Linked DNA regions of Nothobranchius furzeri. The protein of the gene in region 1 purifies or fractionates together with the protein of each later gene. This does not show direct contact. Links are inferred from orthologs where the notes say so. Each region holds a gene or a part of one and is shown on either strand. Other genes may lie near its edges.

The links. The genes of interacting proteins can lie anywhere in the genome.
Region 2: the proteins of csnk1da (region 1) and bysl purify together in Homo sapiens (affinity purification with mass spectrometry; 3 studies listed by BioGRID and IntAct, with this or other methods). This does not show direct contact. The link is inferred for Nothobranchius furzeri from reciprocal best matches to the Homo sapiens genes CSNK1D and BYSL.

Annotation. Positions count from the first base shown.
Region 1 is NC_091758.1:11,453,016-11,459,683, reverse strand, and holds the start of csnk1da (casein kinase I), read right to left. Parts: upstream 4,473-6,668; 5' UTR 4,242-4,472; coding exon 4,166-4,241; intron 1-4,165. UniProt on the Homo sapiens protein: Essential serine/threonine-protein kinase that regulates diverse cellular growth and survival processes including Wnt signaling, DNA repair and circadian rhythms. It can phosphorylate a large number of proteins.
Region 2 is NC_091743.1:46,641,577-46,647,602, reverse strand, and holds part of bysl (bystin), read left to right. Parts: intron 1-1,482; coding exon 1,483-1,643; intron 1,644-6,026. UniProt on the Homo sapiens protein: Required for processing of 20S pre-rRNA precursor and biogenesis of 40S ribosomal subunits. May be required for trophinin-dependent regulation of cell adhesion during implantation of human embryos.

The sequences.
Region 1 (6,668 bases):
CATGGAACGGAACGCGTAGACGGCTTTGCCGCTGCGGATCGCCTCCCGTGTGACAGGTAATAAAAGCGACAGCAACGAATTTCGCTGATCGCGGTCGTTTGTCGCCTCCCGTGTGTCGAGCCCCTTATTGGCCAGTGGCTGACCATGACCGCTTCATATCGGTATCAGCAATAGAGAAACCAATATCAGTCCACCTTTATTTCACACCTTTAACTTATATCTACTTATTGTTTCCTCAATAAAGATATTGCACCTCGTTCTTTCTGTCTCTTAAAACTTGTTAATCCTTTAAATCTTTGTTTTAAATTATATCATATAGGGTTTTTGTCCTTTATGTTCGTTTTATGTAAAGCACCTTGTTTTTATGATACATCACATGCTGTAACCACATACTACATGAGAACATCATCGTAGGAAAGTGTGAATTCCTTGTTTTCTCTGCAAAAAAAAATCTTGTTGAAAATATCGGAGTTTGTTGGATAAAGAAAATAGGGAGAGCACAATTTCTTTCTGTAGGGCTTCTCCAATAGCAAGGTGAGTGATTAAACAGAACCACACACTGTTGATTGAGTCAGTGAGGATGTTGCAACACATTAGTCATCAGCTACTCTGATAGGATTGGATGGAGTGATGGAAAACCTGATTATGTAAGTGCTTGGTTTGACTCACTACAGGAAGCAACTGGTTATATGAAGGAAAGTCAGATCAACATTGCGTCTAAACGTGTGGAACAACAAGATCAACAAAACAATTTTTAATTCTTTTATAATATTTTCAATATTTGAAGCTGTGGCTCGTTACAGTCAGCAATATTGCGACTTTTGCACTTAAAAGGTTAAAAGGAGCTTAGGTATTAGCAACACCTGTGAAAATGTATCTGCAGGAAACAAATGTTTATTGAAGTCTTTTGTAGGGCTGCTCAATTCATCGAATTTTAATCCCAATTACAATCTGAGTTTTGAACAATTATAAAAACAAGACAAGCCGATTATTTGCTTCTCCCTCTTGCGCTGCCCCGAGTTGCAAACCAAGTGCTCCTCCCACAGTGTTGCTAACTTTAAGACTTTGGAGCCATTTCCAACAGCTTTTCAGACCCCCTTCTTGACTTTTTAAATCTTAAAAGGACCAAACGAACACCCCAGAAACATTTCTGGTAACCCTTAACCACTTTCTGGACAACTGTGGTTGACATTTCCTGCAGGTTAGAAAACACTCCGCCAGAGATCGGGACCGTCCTTCAGGATAGTAGGAAAGGGAATGATGTAGTGATTCATTACATTAACTGATGGGACCTGTAAATGAATAGTTTAGAAATAAGGAAGAAATAGACAGAAATAAGTTCCTCACGCTGCTAATGATAAATAATAATTAATCTCTCTGAGACTGAGGACACGTTGCTAGTGCACTCTCCTACATCACCTAGACAGGACTAAATAAATATTATGCAACATTTTGTGAACATCACTAAACATAGATGTTTATGTTATAAATGCCACAGTATAATTCTTCCTGTCAGCATTTGCAATATATTGGTTTTTTGGTCTATACTGGTTAGGCTTAAACGAGTGAAAACAAGGTCTACAGCCCTTGAGTCATAAACTTTGAGCAACTATACTGATCTTTTTATTCTAGGAATCAGGAATAACTTTTATGATCTGGTTTCTTTCTTTTTCTTCTTTGTCCCGATTGTGCCCTGAGCAATTTTATGAACAAATAACAAATAAAATCAATCAACATTAAATAATCGAGACCTCAAGTTCAGTCACAATAATCGTGATTATCATTTTTGCCATAATTGAACAGCCCTACTCTTTAGTGTTTAATGTTTTTGACGTCTTGTCTATGCAGAGCTTCTGTAGTTCAGTTGCGTCCATAGCTGCTAGCCAAACCTCAGTGGAGTTAAAGTCTCTTGTGTTTTCTGGATTTATTAAAATATCTGTCTGTACTTTTTTGATTGATGGCAGTTTTTGCTTTTTATTAGACTCCAAAAGTAATCATTTAGCATGTTCCTAAATTATAATTTGTAAGAATGTAATCAGTGATATTATCAATAGCATCCCGTAGGGTTTTTCAATGTATATTAGCAATGTGCTAACCACTCTCTGCCAGTCAAATCGCAGCCTTTGCGATTAGAAAATCTTTTTTGTCACATCACAATTTAATTGCATATAATTTCCCTACTTCAAACTAGAAGCTAATGATGGGTATATTAGAGCATCCTGGACTAATCATCAACAAAACTGATGATTAGTCGACTATTTAGTCATTTGTGGCAGCCCTACAGAAGACGACGTGAAAACATTACCACTGCTGCTGCATTGAAATTCACTAGTCTCTGGAGCTGGTCAAAACAAAGACATTCACTTTAAGTGTTCGCATATTTTGTACGTAAATGCTATTGCATGTTTGTAGTGTATTCTCCATTGATTAAATAAACATTCTGCAAGTAATTCAAGTTTCCCTGTTGTTGTCCTTTCTCTTAAAGGATACCCAAACTTTTGAGCGTTTGTGCCACTTAGAGGCCATTCTTCCTTCCCAGTAAAGCCTGACTCCGGTTTCACACTGCAAGTATCAGCGGAACGGAACAGCAGCGGAGCGGCTCACTCGCGAACTTTAAAGCGGTCCTTTTCACACCGGGAGAGTCTTGGTCGCGGCACGGCTTCCTCGCTGTGCCTCGTTGTACCCGCGAGATTCTAAAATCCCTCAAGACTTCCGACACCTTCCTCATCGAGAGATCACAACCCCTGCGAAGAATCGCACCGTTGCACTCCTCGAAAGAAACTGGTGGTAAACAAAGCTGTTCGGTCACACTTACTGACGTAAGTTATATATAACATTGTAACGTTGCATTTTATTTTGAAAATAACCGGGTATTTTACACTGAAACCGTGTGGTTTCCTGTCTCGCACTATGTGAACTGCGGGAATTGACGTGTCCCAGAAGTGGCTCCCGGAACAAATAGAACTCGATGTTGTCCTGGCAGAGAATTGCTTTGCAACACCCCTTGGGCAAACGGGGAAGTATGACAGTAAAACGCTTCTATCAATCCGTGCATGTCTGTCCCTTGTGGAGCTGACGCAGAAGCATGACTCAGGCTTAAACGCGTAGCTCGTTTAAGCTACACAACATGAGTGGTGATGTAATTTGCGCCAAATGGAATTGATAATGGAATCGTATGCAAAAATGGCAAATGATTCCAAGGAACTGCAACTGTGGGAACCAGTTCTCAACAAGAACCGGTTTTCAATTCCCAACCCTAGTATTTACCATCTTGTACTTGGACGTAGAAATGTATATATATCTCTGACCATGTGTATGAGCAGTATCAAGTAGTAAAACGGTCACTTTTAAAGGTATTGGTCATCGACACACGTTCATCCACAAATTGCTTTCACCTAATAAGTAATTATATCTGTGGAGTAAAAGCTTCATCACATAACTGGTGTTAAAACCTATAAAAGACACCTTGCTTCCATCAGTGTCCCCATGACAGCTGTGGCTGCTATGTAGCTCATCATCAACAGTGTGAAAGGGTGTGTCATGCCTTGGGGATTGTAGAAAGCGCTATATATAAATAAAGGACATTTATTCTTTGGAACTATTATGAATATAACTCAAGAATAAACGTAAGTATGCTTTGATTCAATGTAGGCATTTTATTTTTCTGGTTATGCTTTAGTTGTAGTGAACTATGAATGGATCACCTTCATCTTTGCTTTAAAGCAGCCAACCTGCATTAATTGTCTACAGTCTGTATTTCTCTGTATGAGCTGCCTTAACGAGTGGATTTTCCCACTGTGGGATCAATAAAGTATATCCTAATGTATTCTACTCCCTTATACTTCACCGTCAGTAAATGGGTAAATATAACAAACTCTCACCCAGTAAAAATGCAAGTGTTTCTGAAACCACGGTCTGGTCGGTCATTTTGCTCACAGACTAACGTCGTTTACAAGGAAAAAAGAAACAGGAACTTAAACATAGCCTTTAGCTTCACAGCTAGCGTCAGTTTCGTTGTTTTACACAGTATTCATTATTACGACGCTCACAAAAGACAACTGCTACCAAAGTCGAGCACAATTAAACTCGATTAAACTTTACAATAGCCGGCCTTTATCCTCTTTTAATGCCGAAGTGAACAGAAAGAAACGTGAAAATTACATACCCAAGTAGATGTCTCCAAATGATCCACTTCCAATTTTTCTGCCCAGCCTGTATCGGTTTCCGACTCTCAACTCCATGTTGACAAAATCTGACAGGCTAGCAACTACACTCGTTAGCTCCAATATTTGTAACAAAACTAATTTGTTCAAACGCAACACAATATTAAAAAAATATGAATCCAAAATCCTGTTTTAGCGATATATTTCGTCTTCTCAGGATTTGTGGGCTTCTTTTTCGCCTCCTTTTTCACAATATTATTAACATTATCTATAAACAATACGATGCTTGTCGGAAAGGTCAGCGCTTGTTCTTTCTGCTCCTGCTATTGTTAAAAACCAGTACGCGTTTATTTTACACGGATGAAGCTGGATTTCGAAGCTAGGTACCAGCTCCGGTACTCTGGCTTACAGATACTAGCTTAGAGCTTGCTAGGCAATTTATCGGAGGAGTTTGACGTCACTTCCTGGCAAGATGAGCGGAGAGGAATCCACCAGAGAGCATGTTAGTGAAGATACACCTATTAGTAACGTTTTGTTCCTTTGTTTGTACGGTTTGTGCAGATTAAATGTAGCAATATGAAAAGCGTAAAATAACGATAAAGCTTTTTGTATTGCAAATACAACACTCAAACATTTTTAATAGCTACTAGAACATTACCTCTGTTCTTGTTTACTGATAGAGACCAATCTTCACTAAATCATTGTGTCTGGTCAGTCACAACAAAAGATTGTTTCCTTTGTCCTCTTGGCCTCTGCCCATCATGCACTGTCCATCTCGCATGAACTTGTAAAAACTCAAATAAAATTAGGCAAGACCTAGATAGTTGTGAAATAACACCAGAAAATCTTGCCTGAATTAATGTTGAACGTTGTTGAATGTAAAAAGTTAAAACCGTAAAAAATGTCCAAGAAATTCTGCAATGGAAAAACGGCTCAGGTCAGCTTAGTTTAAGTTGTTTTTCCAAGTTAAGCTGAGATACGGCTACATGGGTGCACACCAGTCGTGTGCACATGCCCCATGCAATCTCACCCAACATAAAGTAGCGAAAAATGATCTGTAAACAGCGTAAGGGGGTCTGTATGCCACACATGGATGCTTGCTTTCCTCTTAGGTTGCTTATGAAATTATATTATGACATAGTATCTTATTTACACTATTTTATTTTCTCCTAACTTAAAAGTTATTATGCAGAGCTGTTTATAAAGTGTAGTGCTTAATTTAGATTAAGCTATAGAATGTCTATTATAGACTTTGACATTATCAGAACCATACTTTTGGTGTCAAATATAGCACTAGTCTACGTGTAGCACTGATTTTAGATGCACCCTTACAAGGGTGTCTTGTAAAATAAACTCCTTCACCCACAGCTACTGTTGTTATGAGAAGCTGCTAGATTGAACCTTGAAGTTAGAAAAACAAATTCCCAGACTTTCAGAGGGTCATCTGACTTCTGGGAGCGTTCCAGCTAATTGTTCCTACTCTGAAGTTAGAATATTCGAGTCCCCCAATGGAACACACCAATTGACTCCCTGTTGGTTTTAATATAATATAATATAATATAATATAATATAATATAATATAATATAATATAATATAATATAATTTTAAATATATTACAAGGACAATGTCCTTCCTTGGTCAAAGAAAATGGTTAAATGGAACAGATTTGCATCATGTGACGTGGGAGATAAATTTTATATGTATAAGTTTCAATTTTAAAGCCTTTTACATTTTAAATTGTGTATATTTGTTAAATGAAATATGTAAGCGAGTTACTACTTGCTAGCCACCAAAGCTGCATTTACTAAGCAACTAACCAACCATAGCTAACATCTTTGGATCTAAAAAACATTTCAGATATTTGCCCAATAGCTACAATTAGTTGATTTACATTTGAACTTGAAATTTGCTCGCAAAGTAGCTGCCGGCTTCTGATCCACCATCCTATTGAAAATACCGCTGTGTATTCTGAGACATTTTTGACCAAGGCTAGGCTACATCCTATCCTTGCTCAGCTAGTTAAACGGCTAACAAACAGAGAGCAGACACCTCAGTAGAACATGAACATTGGAACACGCCATGGCGGTTCCTGGTGAAGTATATCCTAGGTAACCAGGGCGGGGCCAAGACATCAAGGCAAGGTTTCTTGGCTATGAGAAACACCCAAGGTGTCTGCCTCACAGACTAAAGCTGGGACCTGGTTCCACAAGAGAGGAGCCTGATAGCTAAAAAATCTGCCTCCCATCCTATCATTAGATATTCTAGGAACCATCAGTAAACTTGCAGTCAGAGAGAGACATGCTCTGTTAGGAACATATGGAACAATCAGGTCACTGATGTATGATGGAGTTTTTTTTGTTATTAAGAGTGACTTAATATGTGAGAAGATGGACCTTAAAATCTGTTCTAAATTTAACAGGCAGCCAATGTTGGGAAGCTAAGACAGGAGAGATATGATCTTTCTTTTTAATTTTCATCAGAACTCTAGCTGCAGCATTTTGAAC
Region 2 (6,026 bases), on another chromosome or scaffold:
TTTGTTTTCTTTCTGGCCTTAGTTGGGGGGGGGACGGATCGGGATCGATCTGAATCTGGGGGGGACGGATCCCCCCCGTCCCCCACCCTATCTGCGCGCCTGTCTCTGTCGCCCACTCAAGGCTTGCTGCGTAACGTCACTGTCATGAAATCAAATCTCTTGTCTGCATAAGAGGCATGTTTACTGGCTGTTTTCCAACTCGCGTGCCCAAACAAACACATTAAGCAGCATTGAATAACGTTTTTATCAGGACTGTAGAACAACTTCATGCCAGACAAAACACAATAATCCCGGTGGAATAATTTATTACTTACCTATCCATTAGCAGCACGGCTAGGTCAGAGTCCGTAGTACATGCCATTCTTTCAAGAAGATCTCTCCAGCAAGGAAAAGTCAGCCCGATGTTAACTCTGCTCTTTGCTCTTGCTCTATCGCGTTCTCTTTTTCTTTTCCTAGATTCCTCTGATAAGGTATTTCTAGCTTTCTTTGGTGGATTTGCCATTGCTCAAGTCTCTAAACCGTGGGTCTACCACAGACATTTGTAGATGTCCTTTGGACTGGTGCTGCCTACTGGAGCTGTCGTAGTGGCCGGCCGCCATTCGTCTCCATTGCATTCATTTCTACTGAAGATGTTTACCCATTTAAAAAAACACATTTTATCAAGCTTTTTCACATAATAAGACAAGAGGTATGACATCATAATTAAAATATAAATATAACCAAACAAAATAAATAGGTAGGCTAGAAAAGTATACGAATCCCACATGATCAGTTTTCAATTGTATGCCATGTGTAACCGTAGGCTGCACAAAAACGGGCATAGTTGCTCACTCTGTTGTAGTTGATTTCGAAGAGTGAGGAGACCCATCCAATATGGCGGCGGCACTGTTAACGCTCTCCAGCGCCCAATGGGGCATCTACGTATTCAGGTCTATGGACGTGATACTGCCATAAAACAACACACAGTCAGTACTTCTGGGGGTGGAAAGCCGGTCAAAACCTGTACAGTGCAGTAAACAGACGTGGGACCCCATAGCACTATCACAGCTCCAAAATGAACATATCATAGAATGCCACCAAAAGCTTTCAAAAATATTATTTTAAAGTGTAAATGTTGCAGATTGTGTCTTTAAGCTAAGGATTTCCTACACATTACTGCTGAGTTTAGATCATTTGGGTTATTAACATGGCAGTAATTTAATTCAATTAAATTTCAATTCAAGTTTATTTATATAGCGCCAAATCACGACAAGAGTCATCTCGAGGCACTTCACATAATAAACATTCCAATACAGGCCAGTTCAGTAAGCCAATCAGTAAAAAGTTTCCTATATAAGGAACTCAGCAAATCGCATCAAGCAATCCTCATACTAAGCAAGCATTTAGCCAGAGTGGAGAGGAAAACTCCCTTTTAACAGGAAGAAACCTCCAGAGGATCCTGGCTCAGTAAATTTTGGCATTTTTTTTGTATTTCTTACACAGAATCTTCTCCTCCAATCTGAAAGAGCGAATGGCTCAGAGGTTTTATAACTTGGTGCTGCTGCCTCGAGTGCGGGACGACATTGCAGAATACAAACGACTAAACTTCCATCTTTACAGCGCCATGAAGAAGGCTTTGTTCAAACCAGGAGCGTGGTTTAAAGGTAGGACTCATACTATTAATCTAATGCATCTGCAGCACATTTAAATTTTTTGCTGAATTTGATGTGTTCCCTTTTAACTGAACATATTTGAGCTAAATCATGACAGTGAAATCAGCGATTCTTTCAGACTGAGTTTGAGAAAAGTACTTTTATTTGAGTACTCGCTGATATGAAGTACCAATACAAGTAGTTATAAATGTCAATATACTCCATAAAATGTACTTATAAACTGTTTATTTTCATGAGGCAAATACAGATGAGGCACTGGTATTGTGTCCTGTAGTGTCGGAGTTTATGAGTGGGAGTACATGCACGTGGTATCGGCCTGATAATCCGATGCCAGTATCAACACCAGTGCATTCCTGAATAAATTATTCCTCACCACATTTTTGATGAAGTAGAGGACACACCCTGAATGGTCTTTAAAGGGAAATTGTTCAACTTTTTCATATTTTTAAATAATTTTCTTGAGCCAGCATGTGCTAAAATGACCGTTTACGGGGTTAATGAGAAGTCACCCAGACGCCACCGCTCCTGTGGCCAGAATATTGCACTTGCAACTTCAAAGTGGTGGGCCGCCACCTGTTGGACTTAAAAATAATAGAGTTGACATGCCTGGTGCTAGGCTGGACCGATTCCTGATCAAAGAAGAGATATTAAATGACAGTTAGTATGGTTTTAGAACAAATCATTCAACATCCATGGCATTAATGGAATTAACAGAAGAAATATCGGAAGCCATTGACAAAAAACTCATCTCATAAGTATCTTTATTGATTTAACAAAAGCATTCGATACAGTGGATCATAAAATTCTTATTAAAAAACTTAGTAAATATGGCATCACAGGGATGGCCCTAAAATGGATAAGTTATCGACGGTGGCACAGGAGTTAAGTGCTCGCCCCGTAATCGGAAGGTTGCAGGTTCGAGCCCCACTCAGTCTGTCGCTGTCGTTGTGTCCTTGGGCAAGACACTTAACCCACGTTGCCTGCTGATGGAGGTCGGAGGGACTGGTGGCGCCAGTGCTCGGCAGCCTCGCCTCTGTCAGTGCGCCCCAGGGCAGCTGTGGTTACACCGTAGCTCATCCCCACCAGCGTGTGAATGTGTGTGTGAATGAGTGAATGACTGATTGTGTTGTAAAGCGCCTTGGGGGGTTCCAGGACTCTAGAAGGCGCTATATCAAATACAGGCCATTTACCATTTACCGATAGGCAGCAATATGTTCAAATAAACAACACAAAATCACATATAAATAACATTACTTGTGGTGTACCACAAGGGTCGGTATTGGGCCCTAAACTATTTATCATTTATATAAATGACATTGTTGAGGTATCCAATATATTAAAATGCACCTTATTTGCAGATGATATAACTTTTTATTATTCAGGAGATAATGTTGAGCAGATGATAGAAGTGATACAAACGGAGATGAAAAAAATTAAACTATGGTTTGATGGGAACAAGCTATCATTAAAGAGTGATAAATCATGTTTTATGATATTTAGTAATACATACATTCAAATGATGACATTTTATTAAATATAGATGAGATTAATATTAAAAGAGTTAAAGAAGTCAAGTATCTGGGAGTCATCATTGATGAAAAAATGTCTTGGAAACTACATATAAACAATGTCAAAACTAAAATATCTAAAACCATTGCACTGTTACATAGAGCAAAATGGTTACTTGATAATAATTCCCTATATTTGTTATATAACTCACTGATCATACCGTACCTGAACTACTGCATTGAAATCTGGGGAACAACATAAAAAATTTACACAAATTCCATTTACATCTTACAGAAAAAAGCAATAAGAATAATCACAAGGAGCAACTACAGAGATCCGTCCAATCCATTATTTATAAAAATTAAAAACACTAAAATTCTATGATCTGGTGGACTACAATATTTTAAAATTTTATGTATAATGCAAACAAAGGGTACATACCTGCAGGATTAATCAAAAGATTTACAAAAAGACATAGCAAATGATTTAAAAGGACACGACTTATTTAATATACCTAGACATCGGATACTCATAAAGGAACATTGTGTGTCCATATATGGAGTTAAAATGTGGAATAAATTAAATACTGAAATCAAGAATGCAAAAACAATATTGACTTTCAAAAAAGAGATAAAAAATGAAATGATTAACTTATATAGATCTGTTACATAAACGCGTGAGGGGAGGGGGGTTGGGGGGGTGAAAGAAAGAAAAAAGGGTAAAAAGGGAACAAGTGTATGTATGCATATGTGTATATGTAAGTATATATGTATATAACTTTATGCTTCTTTCTGTGTAACTTGTTTTCTCTTTTTTTTTCAATTAATGGGTTGAGGTTGTGTCGGCCAACCAGTCCAGAAACTATATTGTTCAAATTTTTTAAGAATCATATGATTGTCGTTGTCGTCTTCCTCCGCTTATCCGGGTCCGGTTCACGGGGGCAGCATCCCAACTAGGGAGCTCCAGACCATCCTCTCCCCGGCCTCCTCCACCAGCTCCTCCGGCAGGAACCCAAGGCGTTCCCGGACCAGATTGGAGATGTAACCTCTCCAACGTGTCCTGGGTCGACCCGAGGGCCTCCTGCCGGCAGGACATGCCTGAAACACCTCCCCAGGGAGGCGTCCAGGAGGCATCCTGACCAGATGCCCAAACCACCTCAACTGACTCCTTTCGATCCGGAGGAGCAGCGGTTCTACTCCGAGTCCCTCCCGAATGTCCGAGCTCCTCACCCTATCTCTAAGGCTGAGCCCGGCCACCCTACGGAGGAAACTCATTTCGGCCGCTTGTATTCGCGATCTTGTTCTTTCGGTCATTACCAAAGCTCAAGACCATAGGTGAGGATTGGGACGTAGATCGACCGGTAAATCGAGAACCTTATTTTAGTTAAAAGGGGCAGATAACATAAGTTTTTCTTCTTTCCGTCCACTTTTTCATTTTGGCTTTTAGCAATTTAGTTTTGTATTTTTATTTTAATTTCAATAAATGAAAATAAAGTTGAAAAAAAAAGTCACGTGGTTTGTGAGATCATCTTTACAGCAGGAGAAAAATCCAAACCGCCCCCTCAAATTCTCAGTGAAAACATCGAGATACAAAAGCTTTTGAAAAGATTCTTTCAAATCCATCAGTGCTTTTATTTATATTTTCCAACTTTGGCACACAGCTGCCAGGCCTGTAAACAGAAAGCACCATGTTTGGTTTTACGAATACTGGACCAGGATCCAGTTTCATGTGACCTTTGGAAGAAACAAGCGTGTGAAGAAGATGAATGAGAGGATTTTGTGTCTTATGTTTCAAAGCAGAAATATCAGGCTGCAGGGGACCTGACACAGTTGTGACTTTTGTACATGATTTATTATTTTTATACTGAGGATGCTAATGGAGGATTAGCTGCTGTCTGTTGAAGGAGTGACACCATTTTTCTGGCTGGATAAAAGTGTTAATTAATAGGTCAAATTAAGCTTTATATGTGGAATCAGATGTTTAAAAACATTCTTTTGATTTCATTTGTTTGAAAACACAAATCCCTGCAGTTTGAAGGGAACATTCTCCTGTTCTCTACCCTTTTATTCTACCCTTTCTCAGTGGCCTAGTGGTAGAGTGTCCGCCCTGAGACTGGGAGATCAGGGGTTCGATTCCTGGTCGGGTCATACCAAAGACTTTGAAAAAATGGGACCCAATGCCTCCCTGCTTGACACTCAGCATTAAGGGGTTGGATTGGGGGGTTAAACCACCAAATAGTTCCAGAGTGCAGCTGTGTCTGCAGCTCCCCCAGGGGATGGGTCAAATGCGGAGAACAAATTTCGCACACACACCTGTGTGTGTGACATCTAATGGGACTTTAACTTTTAACTTTAACAATCCATGACCTGAATTCAAAATAACTTCAGTTTGAGCCTTAAACACTAGGTGGCAGTGTTGCTCTAAGATCCATCATACTGGGAACTAGTGATGGGTGTTTTTCCATCCACAGTTCAGACTAATAAATGGTGGTAGATGATAAACTAACTCCAGTTCTCACCCACTACAGCTTCCATCCTACTGACTGAAACATTTGACACAGATCTTAAAGGATAACTAGACATGCGTGTATGTTAAACACCTTTAATGAAGCTTGAGCCATAATTAATGTATTGTTTCAAACTCAAGCTCCAGCAGAAGGTTTGTTGTTTATTAAAATACCTGTAAGAGTTTTATCTGAAATCCTCTGACCTGTAGATCACTTTGACATTGAAATCAAAATGGTAAAGATCTCTTTAAGCTTCAGTAAATCAATCTTGGTCATATCAAAGCAAATTTAATGAAACTTTCACAATGTGATTTCTGTGTGTTCATCTAAACTAATGAAGCTGTAAACATCAGACTATA